Callithrix jacchus: one gene and its partner. The protein of the gene in region 2 interacts with the protein of the main gene of each other region in a pairwise test. Links are inferred from orthologs where the notes say so. Each region holds a gene or a part of one and is shown on either strand. Other genes may lie near its edges. The genes, in order: TSSK2 and TSKS.

The links.
Region 1: the proteins of TSKS (region 2) and TSSK2 interact in binary tests that used the Homo sapiens proteins (3 or more experiments, as listed by UniProt). The link is inferred for Callithrix jacchus from reciprocal best matches to the Homo sapiens genes TSKS and TSSK2.

Annotation. Positions count from the first base shown.
Region 1 is NC_133502.1:210,756,844-210,760,754, reverse strand, and holds the start of TSSK2 (testis-specific serine/threonine-protein kinase 2), read right to left. Parts: upstream 2,475-3,911; 5' UTR 2,382-2,474; coding exon 1,305-2,381; 3' UTR 1-1,304.
Region 2 is NC_133523.1:43,532,172-43,536,016, reverse strand, and holds the start of TSKS (testis-specific serine kinase substrate), read left to right. Parts: upstream 1-978; 5' UTR 979-1,033; coding exon 1,034-1,203; intron 1,204-2,312; coding exon 2,313-2,535; intron 2,536-3,845. UniProt on the Homo sapiens protein: May play a role in testicular physiology, most probably in the process of spermatogenesis or spermatid development.

The DNA of each region.
Region 1 (3,911 bases), on a different chromosome or scaffold from region 2:
AAGTTGGTCACTGAAGCGGGGACTGAGCCTGCTTCCTGTGGAGATAGAGAGGCCTGGCTCCTATTGGTGGGAGTGACAAGGTGTGGAGGTCACAGATTGTGCCCTCGGGGTGGGGGTGTCGCTGCTCAGGGACACGCTTGGCCTCTACTCACACCGGGGTCCTTCCTGCTTTGAGTGTGCCCAGCCTGTGCTAGGCGATCTTCTCTGGTCCCCTCACTCATTCCCTAAGTGCTGAAGTTCTCTGGAGGCCAGCACAGAGCCTGACTCTGCCACCTTCCTGGGCCCACTGCTAACCTATGCTCCTCGACAGTGAGTTCCTGCAAGTTCCTGGGGTAACTGAGCAATAGATGTGCCCTGGGACCTGCAGGTAGACGTAGGGGTGCTGGACAGATCAGGCTGGGACTGTTCATGAGTGGGGAAGGTGGGGCCTTTGGTGCTTTACCCCATAGGAAAGGGTGGCTTTTATCTCAAGGGAGTCCCTAGGGAGTGGGGAGGAGCCCTGTCTAGGTGCTAACCACCTCCAGCACTTGGCTGGCGAATGGGCTGCATGCTTCGGCAGCAGCGGGTGACCCAGCAGAAAGCACGAAAGACTAGCCAGTGCACCATCATCAAGGGCTGCTGAGCAGCTTACAGGGCCACTGGGCGGGGAGGGCACAGGGGAGGTGAGGTCTTAGCTGGGGCTGCCCCTGGAGGGCAGGGCAGGCAACGTGAGGGCTGAGGACAGAAATCTCAAATGACTGGGAAATGGAGGAAGAGGAGGATGCTGAGGGAGAGGTTGTGAGGGAGCGGGGGCAGGTCAGAGCAGGCTGAACTGCAGGAGGCCAGGGGGAGCTGTAGACCTCTGGAGCTGGCCAGCCTGGGGGCAATGGGGATAGAGCCAGGTCAAAGAGAGACAGTGGGGGCCTGGTGGGTGGACCCTGGCAGAGGCCCTCTCGTCCCCAACTAGGCCAGGCCACACCTGAATCTGCCTGCGCCTGAGCACCTGTCCTGTGCTCCTAGGCTGGAGACCACTGTGCATCAGCTGAGGCGGCTGGCCGAGTCCCAGAGAAAAACACTCCTCACTGGGCACTCTCGATGCTTGTACACACCCTGTGGTTTACTTGGTGGTCAGTAAGGAGCATCTTTGCTACTAAGTGGATGAAAACTAATGGAATGTAATCAAAATAGTGGTTTAATTGACGAATTTTACTTGCACCTGTGTCTTCTTCAGATCCTACCTGCCTACTTAGTTTATGTGAAGGCCGACTGCGTCACGCCCCCCCCACCCCCCCGCCCCCACTACACATGATGGGGCTGTTGCCATGCTAGGTGCTCGCTTTCCCCACCTCAGCTCCGGAGATGTGATGGTCTTTGGCCCTGGAAGTCTGGGCCAGCCTGTCCTCCATCCTGTCCTCGTTCTCGGGCACCACCAGCGGCCGGTGCTGGTTTTTGGCTCCAAGCTTATGGTCGGGCTTGGGGTCAGGCCTCGAGCCTGGCTTGGTGTCCAGTTTGCACTCAGCGTGGTACTTGCCCTCCCCGTCCCTCTTGAAGGAGGCAGAAGACATGGCTTTGGGCTTGGAGGGCTGCAGCCATGAGTGGCTGAGGATCTCGTCGATGTGGAGCCGCTGGCTGACGTCAGGCTGCAGCATGTGGTAGATGAGGTCCTTGCACTCGCAGGTCAGGTTCTTGGAGCGCGGGAAGTCCACACGGTGCTCCTTCTGGATACGCAGCATCTTCCTGATGTCGGAGTCGTCGTAGGGCATGGAGCCGCAGACCATGATGTAGAGGATCACGCCCAGGCTCCAGATGTCATATACCTTGGGCTGGTAAGGGATGCCCTGCAGCACCTCGGGGGCTGCATACGCCGCCGACCCACAGAAGGTCTTGCTGAGGATGATGCGTCCATTGCCGTCCCTCAGGCATCGCTTGGAGAAGCCAAAGTCAGACAGCTTGATGTTGAAGTCCTTGTCGAGGAGAAGGTTCTCGCACTTGAGGTCCCGGTGGACGACATCCAGGTCGTGGCAGTACTTGACGGCCGAGGAGAGCTGTCGGAACATCTTGCGCGCCACATCCTCCTGCAGGGCCCCCCGGCACTTGATGAATTCGAGGAGGTCGCCCTGGACGCCAAGCTCCATGATGATGTAGATCCGCCCATCAGAGGTCTCGAAGATCTCGTAGGTCTTGATGATGGAGCAGTGGTTGACAGTTGCCAGGATGTCCATCTCCCGAGGAAGGAACCTTTCCACAAAGTCGGTGGGCGTTTTCTTGCGGTCAATGATCTTGACAGCCACATTGAACTTGAGGCGCTCAGAGTAGGCAGATTTGACTTTTGCGTAGGAACCCTTGCCGAGATTGATGCCCATGATGTAACCCTTCTTCTTTAGGACCGTGGCATCGTCCATGGTGCCAGAAGCGGCTGGCGCCACTGCCGTCTACATCCCCCCACCACGTGGGCCAACAGGCATTGTCTTCATTTACGATACTGGGAGGCGTCTGGCTGGGCTGGGCTGGGCTTGGCTTTGACTTGGGTAGAACACTCAGCATTGTCTCTGGGTGACGTCAGCAAATGAAGTCATAAAGCTAAGGAGGAGTGGGGTGGGAGTACCCGTTCCCCACCCACTGGAAGGAAGCCCACCCACAGGACAGGACTGTGGTGACCCTCTCTGCTGCTGCTCCTTGCATTGGCTTCCCTGTCACACGTCAGGCCAAAGGGGAGGAGGCCCGCGTCCAGCCTGTTTCCCTCACCTGGCTATGGGGACTGACCCTGCCATTGGTCTTTGTCCCACTAGGGTGGGTTTCCTGCAGCTTCTTTGGGCCACGAAGAAAAGCCCCCTAGTGTCCTTCGTGTGGCAGGACAGTTCTCCCTGACAGTCATACAGACAGGCCTGCATAGCACCCCAGTTACAGACAAATTTCCATAGCGATGCCTTAACATTGAGCAAATAGTTAAATCTAGGGAAATCGGTGTCCAGACATCAAAGCTAGAAATGCAACGTGGTCAGCAGCTTCTCCCTTGCTGGAGCAAGCCAAAATAATGGGAACAGTTTTATATTCCCAGTGCCAGGACTTGTCCTGGGTCAACACAGTCTGAGACAAGTCAAGGTAGGAGAGGCAGCCGTTTGAATAGATTCATTGGGAGTGTAAGGCAGCTCTCCAGACCAAGCTGTAAAGGAGTAAAGATGGAAATAATCACTCCGGTAGCACAGTAGGCAGGCCTTAAAGCTACTGGGCCTCTTGTAATCGGACTTCGCAAGCATTTTTTTTGTCTCTGACCTTCTACTTGAAACCAAATTAGTTACTAATAGACTTAGGTGATTGCTGTACTGCACATATGCCCATAACCCCAACCTATATAAACACCAAGGAAATTGTGATACTTCGAGTTGGTCTGTGGAATTATTTCTGGCCTTCTTCCTGTGTCCGGTTACGGTAATAAATTCCCTTCTTTCCTAGTTTGTCTGCTTCTTCTTGTTGGGCCTCGAGAAAATGCAGCTGGACCCGGCTTGGTTCTGGGAACATTGGGACCCGTGGTACCTAGGAGGGACTGCCCTGGACTAGTCAGGCTGGCAGTGGTGCCAAGCTTGGTGGATGAAAGCAGCTCTGTGTTTAGGAGCAGAGGCGCCAGGCCCCTCAGGGTAGAGAGCCGGGTAGGTGAGTTGCTGCTGGTCCAGCACATGGGGGCCTGTGTGTGGGTGGGTCGGGGCTTTGGTGCATGCCAGCTGGCAAGTGGCTGCATGTCTGAGGGGTGGGGCAGGGCCTTCCTTGCTTAGAGGCAGCAGGAAGGCACCTAGGCAGCAGAGAGCCTGGGAGAAGAGAGGGCTTTTTCTCAAAGTGACTGGGAAGTAGAAGTCAGGAGGGAAGTGAAAGAGTTGGGGCTTCTTCTCTGAGCAGCAGAGGCAGCTGCTGCAGGGTGCAGGACGGGGGAGGCGTCC
Region 2 (3,845 bases):
GCGCGCCACCACACCCGGCTAATTTGTCTATTTTTAGGAGAGACGCGGTTTCACCATGTTGGCCAGGCTGAGGAGAAATGTCTTTTTTACAGAAAGACATTACGCGTTCCAAGGACTGGAGTCCATTAATGACCAGGAAAGAAGCACCTTTCTCCCTGGGGATAACGCCATTAAAAATACTTAGCCCGGCGCGGTGGCAGGCGTCAGCAATCTCAGTTATTTGGGAGGCTGAAACAGGAAGACTGGTTGAACCCAGGAGGTGGAGGTTGCGGTGAGCGGAGATCGACCCACTGCACTCCAGCCTGAGCGACAGTGCAAGACTCCGTCTGAAAAAAAATTTAAATTAAGAAAAATTTTAAAAATTAAAGAAAACAATAAATAAATGGGGGAGGGGTGGAGCCACCCTCTCTCCTGCCCCAACTCTCCATCTTCCTCTCCTCCCTCACCTTCCACACCTAGCTGTAGGCCCACCGCACCTAACATTCTCTTGTTGATCTATCTACCTGTACATTGCCTTTTCCCCCGACCCTAATGCCCCATAGAATATGAGACTCTGCAGGTCAGGGTCTGGATCTCAGTCCTCTTCCACCGCAGTCTCCTAGACCCCAGGCAAGCATCAAATCCAGGATGCTACATGAAGAATCAAGTACAAGTGCACGGGGCTGGGCGACCCCACACTTAGTCTCAGGGAAAGGGAAGTTGGTCTTCTCCCAAGAACCGGTGGGCCAACCCATTGCAAGTTACAAACTAGCATGAGTCCATTCACTGGAGCCTGTCGCTCTGAAGACGGTGGTGGGGGGTGTCACGTTGGGCATACAACTGGAATCCTGAACAGGAGGAGTCCACTGAGAACACTGGGGGGATGACCTGGGCCAGCAGCTCTCCCTACCCTGTGTCCCCCCCACTCGTGGGGGCCCAGTGGTTGGGTCCTTTGTGAGACAGGCTGAGAGGACAGTGGACCCTGGAGGGTCTGTGGTTAGAACAGGTGGGAAGTCTCAGAGGAAGGAGCCCCTGGGAGCCAGACTCCCACGCCATGGCGAGCGTGGTGGTGAAGACGATCTGGCAGTCCAAAGAGATTCATGAGGCTGGGGACATCCCTGCGGAGGTCGAGAGCTGCTCCCAGCTAGTCCCTGAGGCTCCCCGGGGGGTTACCAGCCCGGACAAGGGGATTCCCAGGAAAAAGAAGGCTGTGTCGTTCCACGGGTGGGTTTGGCGCACCCTGCCGGGGATGGTTCTAACGCCCAGCACTGCCTCCAACAGAGCAGGAGTCCCACTGTGGGTGCTGGAGGAAGAGGGGGGAAAAGCCAGCGGGTGAGGGGCAGGAAAGAGACAAAAAGCAGCAGGGAGGTAGAGAGGAAGAAGGTAGTGGGGATGAATGGAGGGAAGAAAAAGCCAGTGGGGAGGGAAGAAGGGAGGCTAGTGAATGAAGGAGAAAGCAGGCAGCGGGGAAGGAGAAGGGGGAAGAAAGTAGGCAGTGGGGCCAGGCGCGGTGGCTCACGCCTGTAATCCGAGCACTTTGGGAGGCCGAGGCAGGCAGATCACAAGGTCAAGAGATAGAGAACATCCTGGCCAACATGGTGAAACCCTGTCTCTACTAAAAATACAAAAATTGGCCGGGCGTGGTGGCTCACACCTGTAATCCAAGCACTTTGGAGGCTAAGGCGGGTGGATCACGTGAGGTCGGGAGTTCAAGACCAGCCTGACCAACATGGTGAAAACCCGTCTTAAAAAATAAATAAATAAAAATACAAAAATTAGTGGGGTGTGGTGGCACCCACCTATAATCCCAGCTACTCAGGAGGCTAAGGCAGGAGAACCACTTGAACCCAAGAGGCAGAGGTTTTGGTGAGCCAAAGACAGAACCACTGCACTCCAGCCTGGGCGACAGCTCACACTGTAATCCCAGCACTTTGGGAGGCCAAGACGGGCAGATCACCTGAGGTCAGGAGTTCAAGACCAGCATGACCAATATGCAGAAACCCCTGTCTCTACTAAAAATAGAAAATTAGCTGGGTGTGGTAGTCCATGCCTGTAATCCCAGCTACTCGGGAGGCTGAGGCAGGAGAATCGCTGGAACCTGGGAGACGGAGGTTGCAGGGAGCCAACTGCACCACTACACTCCATCCTGGGTGACAGATCAAGACTCCATCTCAAAAAAAAAGAAAGAAAGAAAGTAGGCAGCAGGGACAGAGAAGGGAGAACCAGGTAGCAGTGAGGTTGGAGTCAACAGGGGGTGAGGTATGCAGAAAGGAAGGCAGGAGGGGCCAGACCACAGGCAGGAGTTGACCTTTCTGCCTGTTTCTCCTCTGTAGGGTGGAGCCCCCGATGTCCCACCAGCCCATGCACTGGTGCCTGAACCTCAAACGGTCGTCGGCCTGCACCAATGTGTCACTGCTCAACCTGGCCTCCATGGAGCCCACCGACTCCTCGGGGACAGACTCAATAGTGGAAGACCTCAGCAGCCAACTCGCCGGGCCCCCTGCCTCCCCCACCCTACCCTGGGTTCTGGATGACCCAGACATCTCGGAAATCCTGGTGAGGGCCCCCCACACCACCCTCTGGGGAAGACCAAGGTCCTCCAGGTGCTGGTAGCAAATACTTAGGACGGAGTGGGGTGTTTTGGATTTGGAATGAGAACCTTCTGGTTGCTTTTTGAGACCCAGAGGAACTAACAAGGATCTGCCTCCTCCTTTCCTGACAGCCAGCTGTGAATATGGGAGTTGGTCTTTTTTTTTTTTTTTCCAGAGACAGTCTCACCGTGTTGCCCAGGATGGTCTCAGACTCTTGGGCTCAAGGGATTCTCCCACCTCGGCTTCCCACAGTCCTGGGATTATAGGCATGAACCACCACACCTGGCCTGGGTGTAGGTCTTTAGTTCATACAGTCACTCCCAAATGTCCCCAATGAGGCTGGGCTCAGGAACCTGCACTTGGGGAGCTCCCAGTCTGGTGGGGGACAATAGACACAGACTAGGGTAAGAAATTCTGTAATGGAGGAGAAGAGCCCCTCAAGCCAGGCTGGGGGTATCAAGGAAAGCTTCCTGGAGGAGGATGTGTTGCAACCCTACTTTAGTGAATGAATAGGAGTTCTCTGATGGGAGTCACCTAAGAATCTGGGACAAAACTGAGAGGTGAAGCAAGATTTAGAGGGCTTTAGGGAATTTCTGAATCTCTGCTCCTCACCCCGCCTGGTTTCCCCTGGGCCAGGCCTGAAACGGCTCCACCAGATACTGAGATACTGAGAACTACACTAACCACAACCATGGTGTTTGTTTTTTGTCTTTTGTTTTGAGACGGAGTCTTACTCTGTCGTCCTGGCTGGCGTCCAATGGCATAGTCTTGGCTCACTGCAACCTCCATCTCCCAGGTTCAAGCAATTTTCCTACCTCATTCTCCCAAGTAGCTGGGATTACAGGTGCCCACCACCGTGCCTGGCTAATTTTTGTATTTTTAGTAGAGACGGGGTTTCACCATCTTGGCCAGGCTGGTCTGGAACTCCTGACCTTGTGATCCACTCTGTGGGCCTCTTCCAAAGTGTTGAGATTACAGGCGTGAGCACCAGCCATGATCTTAATGCTGTTGAGATTCGGTAGCATTTACTGAGCATTTTCCATGTTCAGGGAGCCCCAGTTTACCCATCTGTAAAATGGAGATGCATGCATTTGTTCCTGCATTTTTAAATTTTATCTATTTTTGAGGCAGGGTCTTGCTCTGTCTCCCAGGCTGCAGTGCAGTGGCGCGATTACAGCTCCCTGCAGCCTTCAGCTCCTGGGCTCAAAGGATCCTCCCATCTCAGACCTCAGTAGCTGGGACCACAGGCACCCACCTGGCAAATTTTTTTCTTAA